Arabidopsis thaliana: one gene and its partners. The protein of the gene in region 3 interacts with the protein of the main gene of each other region in a biochemical or structural test. Each region holds a gene or a part of one and is shown on either strand. Other genes may lie near its edges. The genes, in order: DPB, DPA and E2F3.

The links.
Region 1: the proteins of E2F3 (region 3) and DPB form a complex in vitro, tested with the Arabidopsis thaliana proteins (one study listed by BioGRID).
Region 2: the proteins of E2F3 (region 3) and DPA form a complex in vitro, tested with the Arabidopsis thaliana proteins (one study listed by BioGRID).

What each region holds. Positions count from the first base shown.
Region 1 is NC_003076.8:840,785-844,538, reverse strand, and holds the start of DPB (Transcription factor DP), read right to left. Parts: upstream 2,052-3,754; 5' UTR 1,824-2,051; intron 1,730-1,823; 5' UTR 1,698-1,729; coding exon 1,447-1,697; intron 1,072-1,446; coding exon 992-1,071; intron 854-991; coding exon 810-853; intron 589-809; coding exon 526-588; intron 433-525; coding exon 286-432; intron 204-285; coding exon 135-203; intron 36-134; coding exon 1-35. Other genes in the region: AT5G03406 (Class II aaRS and biotin synthetases superfamily protein), read right to left, coding at 3,095-3,193, 3,376-3,468, 3,588-3,717. UniProt on the Arabidopsis thaliana protein: Involved in the regulation of the G1/S transition. Increases the DNA binding activity of E2F proteins after heterodimerization.
Region 2 is NC_003076.8:543,018-546,771, forward strand, and holds the start of DPA (Transcription factor DP), read right to left. Parts: upstream 1,939-3,754; 5' UTR 1,698-1,938; exon of another isoform or gene 1,413-1,697; 5' UTR 1,407-1,412; coding exon 1,288-1,406; intron 1,201-1,287; coding exon 1,139-1,200; intron 1,056-1,138; coding exon 1,012-1,055; intron 773-1,011; coding exon 701-772; intron 613-700; coding exon 472-612; intron 378-471; coding exon 309-377; intron 88-308; coding exon 1-87. UniProt on the Arabidopsis thaliana protein: Involved in the regulation of the G1/S transition. Increases the DNA binding and the transactivation activities of E2F proteins after heterodimerization. The complex DPA/E2FA promotes cell division and acts as a regulator of the endocycle.
Region 3 is NC_003071.7:15,117,763-15,121,516, reverse strand, and holds the start of E2F3 (E2F transcription factor 3), read right to left. Parts: upstream 1,929-3,754; 5' UTR 1,830-1,928; coding exon 1,554-1,829; intron 1,518-1,553; coding exon 1,368-1,517; intron 1,038-1,367; coding exon 851-1,037; intron 799-850; coding exon 757-798; intron 717-756; coding exon of another isoform or gene 663-716; intron 579-662; coding exon 404-578; intron 278-403; coding exon 226-277; intron 128-225; coding exon 69-127; intron 1-68. Other genes in the region: EMB3114 (Mitochondrial transcription termination factor family protein), read right to left, coding at 3,335-3,754. UniProt on the Arabidopsis thaliana protein: Transcription activator that binds DNA cooperatively with DP proteins through the E2 recognition site, 5'-TTTC[CG]CGC-3' found in the promoter region of a number of genes whose products are involved in cell cycle regulation or in DNA replication.

The DNA of each region.
Region 1 (3,754 bases), on a different chromosome or scaffold from region 3:
TCATTTCTCTGTATCAGATTCTGAAGGCCTACATACTTTCAGACATACACAGAGATGATAGAAGGACCATGTAAGAATCTATGATAAAAGTAACAGGAAGCAGATAAGCCGAGAGTATCGATGATGTTCATTACTTGTTCTTCCAGTTCTTGGGAATATGCAGTTTTCTTCTCAATTCTGTTCCTAAGTGAGAGTCGTTCGTTCTGCAAAACAAAATAATTCAAATTCAGGAAAATTCTCTAAACAAGCTATGGAACATCTGCACATAGAATATGTGGTTGAAACCTTTAATTCTTCAATGTCGCTTAAGCTTGTCCGAGGAAGACCTCTCCATTGAATTTCTTTTTTATCCTTGGATATTATATCCATAGCCATGAGGACGTTTAAAGCATCATATACTCTTCGTCTTATGTTTTTCTCATCATACTGTTGCTGGTAAAACGTTTTCACATGATATAATTTCATCAGAGTTCACAACGAGTATTGCACACGTTCCAGGGTAGAAACTATCGAAGAAACGCATACCTGATCAGGGGATGTTCCATCGTTATTTGGAAGTGCAAATTCAGCAACAAGCTCGTCTGCAACCTGAAAGTACTATCACCTGTTAGATACCGTATTACAGAGCTACACGTTTGCAGTACTAATCATGAGACAAATTGATATTCCCATATGTGATCTTGACAAGTGTTTAATCACACTGGTAAGCACAATAAATCAGTATCATCATATAACATAAACAGAAGTGAATGGATCTTGCAAAGCATAAATACTGTGAAGCTTTTTGTTTAAAAAGGAAACTACCGTACCTCATTGTAAGTTGTCCTTCCTTTGCTTTCCACCTTTTCACAAACTGAAAGGAAGGCCAGACGAACATAATATCAGTTAAATGTATAACCAATCTTAAGAGGCATTATCCACACAATTCATAGCTAGAAACTTGAAAGGCATTTAGATGAAAGCATAATAGGGGCAGAGAAAGAGATAAGACCTTTCATACTAAATTGACGTAGTCCTCTTCCAGTCTTATCTGGACCAGCCGCACGCTGTCCCCTCTTCTTCTTCTTAACACTGTAAATAGATTATATGATCAACTAAACTACACAGAACACATGTAACAACTTCCACACAAAAATTAACGCACAAAGACAATGGCCTAAACAGTATCTTTTGTCCCAATAAGGATAGGAAAGATGAGTATTCAAATATGCAGATTATTAGTAGATTTTAGACTAATACATATCAGGAGAGCCAAATTCAAGCTTGTAAAAGTATGATCCACACATCATACTTACATCTACTGGTTCAGTTTCATATATTCATTAAGCTCATAAAAGCAGCCATTGCAATAGAATGAAAACCCTAAAAATCGCTAAACCAAACATCACAATAAACACATCAAAGCCTTTTAATATAAAAATCACAGAATTGAGGTGGTTTACATACCCAGAAGCTCCTTGAGAACCAGCATCATCACCTTGAATGTCCAAATTATTCAGGCGTTGAAAAGTAGTGTCGCTAGTAGATGTAACAACGGTGATGGTTTGCTCACTCCGGCTCGACGGAGAGCCCATACTGCCGCTAGTAGACACAGATTGACCTGAAACCGCCGTGCCCCAAGACCTAGTACTAGGGTTATTGTTGTTATTATTGCTTTCATGGTGGTTGTGATTAGAATTAGACCCAGTAGTTGTCATTCTTCTTCCACCTAAAACTAACTACCGCGCTACTGGAGAATTCAATAGAAAACGAGAAAGAGATTTGTTAAAATTTGTCAAGGAAAGTTTCTGATTTTGACGAAAACCCAGATTTTGAGTACTGACCTTGAAAATCGACTTGGGTTTTTGGTTATTAACGAGAATTAGAAGCTTCAATAATGGCGGATCAACATTAGAATTCTTAGTGTGATACTACTCTGGAAAGGTGGTTTTCGCGGCGGAGAGTTAATGGATTTCGCCGGAGAAGGAGGAGGATAAGTCGATCGGGGTTGGGAGGCTTGTTATTTGTGCGATGGTGAAAAGATGTCCACAATGAGAGAGAGAGAGAGGGACCAAACTGACTCATAGGTGAAAAAAAAACAAAAAGTTAAAGAAGATAATTTTCTTTACTTTTTTTTTATTTTACCAAAAGATTAATTCTCTTTAGTGAAATTTAGGTCTTTTGTTAATCAGAATATAATACTGGAATTATCTTTTTATTTTTATTTTGGCTAAACACTAAAATTATCTTCGTCTTCTTCTTTTGTTGGCTAAATACTGGAATTATCTACCAAAATATGTTTATATGGCTTTAATAAGCATGAAAACAAATATAAAAAACATACATTGATACATCATAATGTAGATGGATGATCAAGTCAAAAAGTTAAAAACATGTGTGGTTGATACCACTAGTCAATCACATTCGATATGAATTTTCATTATATGAAATTTACTCATTCTAGTGTTGATAAGATTTGAGCTTTTAGGAAATATAAACATATCATGTTCATCCTCTTTCATTACTAAAACTGGAGCAAAAGAGTTTTTCTAGTTCCGAAGATTATGTGATAATGTAGCTTAAGGTTCACGAAAGGCACATTTTCTTTTCTTTTTAGCATTTCTCGGTTTGAAATAAAAATCACATGCCACATGTGGCTGATTCGAAGTCAAAAAGTATATTTTGTAAATCACTATTAGACGAATAAACGAGTATTGAAGATCCATCAATAAAATTCTTAATGAAACCTTTGAGGACAAAATAAAAATCCAATCTCAACTCAATTGCTTTTGAAAAAAAGGACAATTGAACAATTTGTTCAAGCCTTAGATACTACTACTCCAAGTCATCAAGTTTGACTTGAAATTGCTCACCTGAAGACAAAACCTTGACACTGACCGAACCAACTTCCCAACCAGAACCGGCCTTCTTGCGTTTACCCGAGCCGCTCTCTTGAACACCCATTTCAGCGGTTTACTCTCCAATACTAAATCAACGGTTTGCCCTTTGTCTTTAAGAGCGGTTGCAATGGTGGTTGCAGCTCCTTGGAGATCTTTGTCCAAAGCACACACGATGTTCTCTACTTCTTGTCCCAATTCTGGCAACAAAGCAGCTGTTAATTGATGTTTAGATTGCTAACCTTGTCTATAATGAAGCAAACTCTTCCAAACAGGTCTTCGGGTACACCATACTTTTTTAAAAATTCTTGTAAAACCTGTACAAGGAAGAAGTTATGGGAGATGTTAGCTACAGTGGATATTCAGATGCTGCAGATCGTGCAAAATAATCTCAACTCATGTTTAGCATTGCAAGTGAGTTACTTGGTTCTGTATCTAGAGTGTAAACCAAGAAACAAAATGATCATATCACATCAAAAGAGAACGTAAGCAAAAATACCTTGCGGCTTGAAACCTTAAAACCCACATCTGATGCAGTGATTCCAATTCGCTTGAAGAATGTCATTATAGATGAAATTAGTTCTGCTTCAGCCTAAAAGAAAAGGTTTGTGAACCAAATTAGCCGGCTTATAGAGACTTTAAACACAGATCAGGTTCATATAACAAAAAACTAGAAGGCCTAAAGTGATTAAAGGTATGAGAGATACATACTGTAACTTCAGGCACACCAATAATATCCATATTCCACTGGTAATGCTCACGTCGCCTTCCTCGTGTCATTCTCTCATATCTCCAACACTGCCCAACAGCAAACCACTTCAATGGAAGGGAAACAGATTTTCTGGACCAAAAAGAATATGGGAATCAACATTCTCACA
Region 2 (3,754 bases), on a different chromosome or scaffold from region 3:
GAATGGTAAGGTAAATCCTTCTGCTGGGCCTTGAGTCTTCACAACCATCTCTTGATTTCTCGACATAAGACTCTCAAGACTTGAGACCTGATGATAACAACATTTGAGTAACATTATAAGCAAAACGTAGAAAGACGGTTTAACATTTCATTAAGACAACATAAAATGATTCAATACACGACGTATCTATGGATTCTAGAAAACCTGCAATATCAATAACTTTTGTCATCTATTGACATGCATAACAAGATCTCAAATTCTAAGAGAGTCTTGTATTTAAATTTTCCATCAAACAGAAAGAAGATCACCTTTTCTCTCAACTCTTTAAGAAAAGCAGCCTTCTTTTGCACACTGCTCATAACTTTATTACGATCCATCTGCAAATAGAGGTAGAGAGATTAGTAGAGAAGACGAAGAGAGAGAGCAATTACATAGATGAGATAACTGAAAGGAAAAGCTTGGAAGCTAAACCTTGACTTCTTCCACATCCTTTTTGCAGGTAATAGGAAGTCCTTTCCACCGGATTTCCTTTTTATCCCTTGCAATAATATCCAACGCCATGAACACATTGAGCGCATCGTAGACTCTCCGCCTTATGTTCTTCTCATTGTACTGATTGAACATAAGAGAATGTTGTTATAGCTTTTTTTTTTTCCAAATAACTCAAGACAGATGATATGAGCTTTCCATCTCGCTATACCTCATTTTCATTCAAAGGCTTCTCTGCGTTTTGCTTAATTGTGGCAAAATCTGAAATAATTTCGTCTGCAACCTGGAATCACAAGAGCCACAGTCTCAAACGTAGATTTTCACATTTTCTGATACAATGCCTCTATATAAGGGCAAGACTCCTGATTAGAAGAAGAATTTGAGACAATGCTCAACAACTAACTTAGAGGATTGCTTCTTGAAGTGAATACTTGTTCATATAAAGATCAATTCTAATGCGTCTTAAACTGAAAACTCATTGATTACATCACCAATTCCTTAATGGAACAAAGAGAGTAATACCTCCTTGTAAGTAGTTATCTTCTTGGCTTCCAACTTCTGACAAACTGTGTGAAGTTAAATCAAAATCAGCAAAACAACAATACTTTCACTTCAGGCATGTTTGAGCTAAGAGAGATATATCACTGACCCATAACACTGAATTGACGAAGCCCGCCTCCAGAAGTTCTTGATTGCCCTTTCTTCTCTGATCTTTTAAACACAAATTCAATACAGACATTTTAGCTCCAAGTAAAAAAACCAGAGACTTTGTGAGTAAGAAGAATAATTAACACTGACCCAATTTCAGAATCATCATCAACAATCAATTTCCTTCTCACTGGAGTTTTCTCAACGCTCACTGAAGGATGTTGCCTCTGCTTCTCTGGAGTGACAAACAACTCCATCTCCATACTCATCCTTCTCTACACAATTTACCAATTAACAAAGTTAGCTACACGAAATCAAATCAATTAGTTGTTCATGTCTCAAATCCATCGTTGACTAAAACCGATGAATCAATAGACACAATCTAAAAAACCCTAAATTGTTGACAGCTCCAATTTCAATTTTTTAACAAAAGCTAAACAAAATTTATGAAATGGGAATCATCAACCAGTTGGATTAGATCTAACGATGGTGAAGAAAACCCTAGTTCAGAGAAATAAAGGCTAAAGCTCGAATCCGTTTCAAAAGATCAAAGAACGAACCAGTGATCGATCTTCCAATGGCGGAATAAAAAAAGATGGAGATTTTTTTTCTAGGGTTTTGGTTTTACTCTTTTTATTACACAGAGATGCGAACAACAACCAAAAAAAAAAAATCGGAGATGAAATTACTTTGGGTGAGAGTTCCCGCTATAAACAAACAAACAAACTGTAACAACAAACAAACACAGAATTCTCCATAGCCCATCAAAAGCCTCAACAAAAACAAAACACACGCACTCTCTGTGTTCGAACCCAACCGCTACGGTGTCGTTTTTCAACTTTGGCGGGGGATTTAAATGGGCCTTTTGTAACTCTTTGTAATTTTAAGCCCGTTGGGCTAATTATATGTCTAAAATCGATCACGTATTAAACTCTTTGATAATCGATAACGTTACCAAATAAATAATGAAAATTTGGCTGTCTCTATTACATATGTTGACAGTTGTGTTTGTATTCGATCCAATTGTTTAAAAAATAATAATATTAAGTTCACTGAATCTTGAAAAAATGTTTGGTACGTATGCATTTAAGTTATTGAAAACATTATCGCTAGCTTATAAAGTTTATGATTTTTTCGTCTTATATATAAGACATGGTCCGTATCATCAACTTGTAACTATTAAAAAAAAAAACTCACTATTCTCATATACTTTTTATTTCTTTTCTAAGATGCTTATAGTTTTACACGTTAGTGCTTTAAGCCTGCAACGTGTGAGAAGGTTGCGTTGCACTTTCACTAGATCGAAAGAATATATGCATAGTTGCTTGATCCTTTTTCTTTTTCTTCTTTATACGATGATCGTACTCGTATAGTACTGAAAACTATATGATAAATTTCAGCATAACTGTTTGTTCAAGTTGTTAACCGATTAAAAGCTTTAAAGTTTGAAAAAGGATATGTTTATGATAATTGCAACCACTTGGTACTTGCCACTTGTTCTCCATGATTGTTTTTTTTCTCTCCATATGAAGATTAAATTAAATTATTTTGTTTGTAGTTTTAACTAGTTCGAGTTGATAAGAAAGTTTGGAGCATGGCCATGAGAACCAAAGCTGTTCCTAGTTCCTACGCTGCTTGATTGCGGAGAGTCATTCTCTTACTCATTGCTTCATCATCATTTCCAACCGTTTAGAGTTTCACTAGCCATGTTTCTCTTCTTCACCTCTTTTTTTGTTTAACCTTTATGTATACCTTCCTTCTCGTATACCTTAATCAGACCGGTATGGACTAATCAATTCCTCATGCTATTCATAGCTATGCACTATCATAAGATTTTGAAACAATATAACTTCAAATTTGATTTGTTTACTTTGATGTTTCTATGTGTTGTCAGAATATATAAATATATGTTTTGTCATTACAAAAAAAAGAAATAGTGTGATCTATTTAAATGTTTGTTTGCTGTTTGTATATCTGTCGTTGTTTTGGGAGATGAGAGGTGGCAACTCCCAATATCTTTTTGGGGTCATCTTCAATGTCTTCTCAGATCTCAATTATTGAGTTTTTAAAGTCATGTTTGATTCTTTCTTCTCTTTTTTTTGGTTCACTAATTCTACTCTTTAATTAGTCTTCTTTTTTTGTCAACTTTCGTTTATATCACATAAACAATTATATCTATTGCAGTAAATATATTATTCATAATGTTCAAGTGTCCCTTGAGGAACTGAACATACAATAAACAAAATAATGTTACCGTATCATATGGTATGCGTATTTATTCCAGTAGCTTTTTCTTTCTTAACATCTGAAATCTAGTAGAGTAATAGACTATTTATTTAATTTTGGAAATTTAATATGTTTTTTATATTTTTCCTATGTTTGCCCAAAATTGTTTTTACACAATCATTACTCGCCTTCATAAATTAAAAACTGACATGGTGAAATACATCAACAAGCTAATATGATACTCATAAAACTGACTCAAAATGCATTTTTTTTTTTTAAAGTAAAAAATATGTTGTCCTCGTAGTTATCCTCAAACTCTTTGATTCGATTGTTTTAGAATTTATAATACACTTAGATAGTCAACAAAGCTGGATTAGTTAATTAAATTCGT
Region 3 (3,754 bases):
GTTAAAGCGTCAGCATTGGTTAAATAGATTAATCACAATAACCCAAAACTCTTTAAATGAATGCTTACCTGATTTGGTTGTCTAATGCTTGCTCTTCGAGGGCGAGGTTTTCAATTTCTGCCTGCAGCTACAAAACAAGAACATTAATCAAAGGAAGCGAGAACTACATGATATTTTAAGATTTACATGCACAATGACTTTTGAGTGTATGCTGTTTCACTACACCTGTAATACAGATACGTCAGCATCCTCATCGCCAGGACACGCATCAACTCCCCTAATCAAGTTTATTGATCATCAAGTGAGTTTACATGTAGTTAAATGCTTTCAGTAATATCCCAATGAAGCAGGATATGCTTTCAGTACAAAATACATAAGCATACTATATCATAAAAATCCTCACTTCCAAAGTATTCGATTCTTGAAAGGCTTTTCAATGAGATCTATCCCCTCCAAAACGTTTGTAATATCATATATACGTCGTTTCTGCACCTCCAATGTTTCTGCAGCTTTGTTTAGGTCCAGCATTCCATCTTTGGCTTGTTTAATTAGATTGACGAACTTTTTTGTAAGGAGACCTGAACAGCTTTTATGTCAGCATCTTCATATACACTATAACATGTATCGAATATTAAATATATATGTGAAAAGTTGTTAATTACCTAAAGAACTGTCATAACGACAACTTCCTGATGGAGTAAGTGTGATAGGAGAACCTGCAAGTTGACCAGGAAAGTAATCAGCTCTTCGACTTACTTGTTACTCTAGACATGAAAGATATTTCATAAAAGGATCTAACTATATAGAAAGGCCAAAAGGGGTAGAGAGTCAAGAATACAATTCTTCTTACCAGCGTTTGTCGAGATGGGTGTTTGAGGAGTTGACTTGTTTCCTTTGGCCTTTGACTTGATGTTGACTCTGCCCCCTTTTCTAGGAGTTTGACAGGGACTGCTAGGTATGTTAGTGAAACCAGAACTCGTGAATCCATTATTAGATGGAGCAACAACCATATCCATTGTCGCCTTTCTCTTTCGTGACTGCATATAAACAAGTTGTTATTAGCTTAAAGAAGTTGGTCAAAGAAATATCATCCAAAAGGTTTTAAAGCATCCACACACAAATTATCTATATCATTCCTCATAAACTTTCACAACATTGGGATCTACTTGAAACATTATACATTAACAAACAATGTCAAGCTTCATACACCAATACTTTGATATCAATAAGCTAATGCTCAACACTATGTGAACATTCAACACCTCACGCAACAATCAGAGCCAATTTGGCATGGCAATTGGAGAAATTGATGTCTGATTTGCGTCAATTGGGTGTAATTGAAACGCAGTGTTATGAGCAAAATGTACCATCGCGAAGCTAAACAAACGACAAAAATTGACACGAATCGACGATAATCTAACGCTGCGAAGCTTTTGAATCAGACTTAGAAGCAACAAGTAGCAATCGAAATCCCCAAAACATCCTCGAATTTCTAAACCAATCTCACTGGGGAAAATCTCTAAATCGAAGAATCAAAAGCACCCAAAACTCACAGGAGATCTAACAACGACAGCATCTTCCTCCCGATCTACAACACCACAACCATGAACGAAGCTCCTGTCGTTATTATTACTGAGCGAAGAAGGGTTAAATCGATGGTAATCATCGGAAGGATGAAACGGAGGTTTTGTTGAGGCGAAAGCTAAGTGACGACGTATAGGTGGTATAACCGGCGTAGATGTAACCGGAACCGGAGATGACGGTGGATGGTGCGGCGGCGGCGGTGGCGGCTGAGAAGAACCGGGAGAAGATCGTACGACACCGGACATGGATCGTAGTGAAGCGAGAGTCGAATTTGAAGATTCCGATGACGGGAAAAGCGACGGCGAGTGAAGGAAACAAGGGTTTTAGTGAGAGAAAGAGGAAGAAGAAAAGAAAAGGAGAGAGCAGAAAACGAGGGAAGGAGGGAATTTTATGTTGGGATAGATGTGGAGGGAAGCCTATAGCAATAATAAATAAAATGTTAAGGAAATAAATATATACTTTTTTTTCTTTCTATTTGTGCCCCGGGATTTTGTATTTAGTTTTAGATTGACCCTACTTACTTTAGGGAAATTACTTTTTGTGCCTTTTAGTAACGGGAATATTGAGATTCTTTTCTGTTCTTTATAATGGTGAAGAAGAGGAGATCATGCATATATATTTTTGATCTAGAACTTGTTTTTTGAATCTGAAATTTTTATTTAAATGTGTGTAGTCGGTAAACAGATTTCTGCAAATAGATTGGGATAGAGTTTGTTTATAGTACATGTGCTGCTGTTTCCGTTATGATATGTGTAATAATATTTTTATTTTTATTTTTTATCCTTTTGTATTGATTAGTGGTTGTTGTATCATGTATGGCAGTGGAAAAACTGATGCGAAGTGTAGATTAAGTCTAAAGTCACTTGATGAAGGATTCATAATTCAATTCAGTATTTGGAGGACTATAATATTGCACATGATTGATGTCATTAATTAGTATTAACGACAAATGAGTGATAGAAAATAGTTAGAAAGGGTAAATAGAAATTGGTAAAGACCTAGATTGGCAAAGTTTTCGTACCGCTTTTTTCTTGTCCTGCGCCGTTAGCTTATTACAGGTCACAAGAAAAATGGTTCACTTAGAGAGTGTGAGGCATTGTTGTATTGTAGTACCTTAAGTTCATTCATGTTCATTACGAGTGTACCCCATTTGAGCCGAGAGAATGTAAAGTCGTTATCAAGTTGAAGCCCAATAAAAACGGATTTAAGGCCCAAAAAAAGAAGGAGAACGGAAACAGAGAATCCGATCATAGACCACTGGCATTTCACGAACCATCAAAGGGACTAAAAGCTCTAGAACCAATTCTCCCTGTTAAGACTTAAGACCAATAACTAAACCGTTACGCTAATCAGTTCACACATTCATCATCTTGCCTCCAATTGTAGAATCACAATTCTCTGCAAATCGCAACTCTACACGGTTTCTGGACTTACATACACTTGATTTCTCGTTCACTAACAATAACTAGACCGAAATACATCGGAATCGTGAATTGTAAATGAACATTCTTTCTCTTATCAAGATTTAACTCACCATCCCTGTGTGTGTCTCAAAATGTAGGCAGAGGCTGGTTTCTTCATTCATTGAGTTCTTCATCATCATTCATTACAAAAATGTACCTAAAAACAAAGCAAACCCCATCAATTCTCACCAATTCTCCAACTCCATTAAACAAAAAAACAACAACAAAAAGCAAGAAACTCTCACTCACTTGCTTCCATGTTCTCCTAGCACACAAAACTCTATAAATCAAGAATCTTTTTGTACAGTAACAAGGCGAGAGGTCTTCAATGGCGGAGAAGAATCACAACATACCTCCAATGTATCTCTAAAACCAGCTTCATTAGTCTTCAACATCACCGGCAATGGAAACCTCACACCTTTCGCAGCACAAGCTTCATGTCTCGGTTTAATCCGATTCTCCAAACTAAACGAGAAATACTGAGGAAACTCAAGAACCTCTCTAACATCTCTCCCCATCTCCACCATCAAATACTTCAACTTCGGCTCATAATTCTCAGCAATACTGTAATTAAACAGCTGCGGGAATCTCTTAAACATCGCGGTGGCGCTCCGCCGCGAGAATCCTAACTTCTCGAAGTAATCAATCCGTGGTACGAGTTTATTGTCAACGCTACAAGAGAGAAGATACGTATGTTTATGCGGATC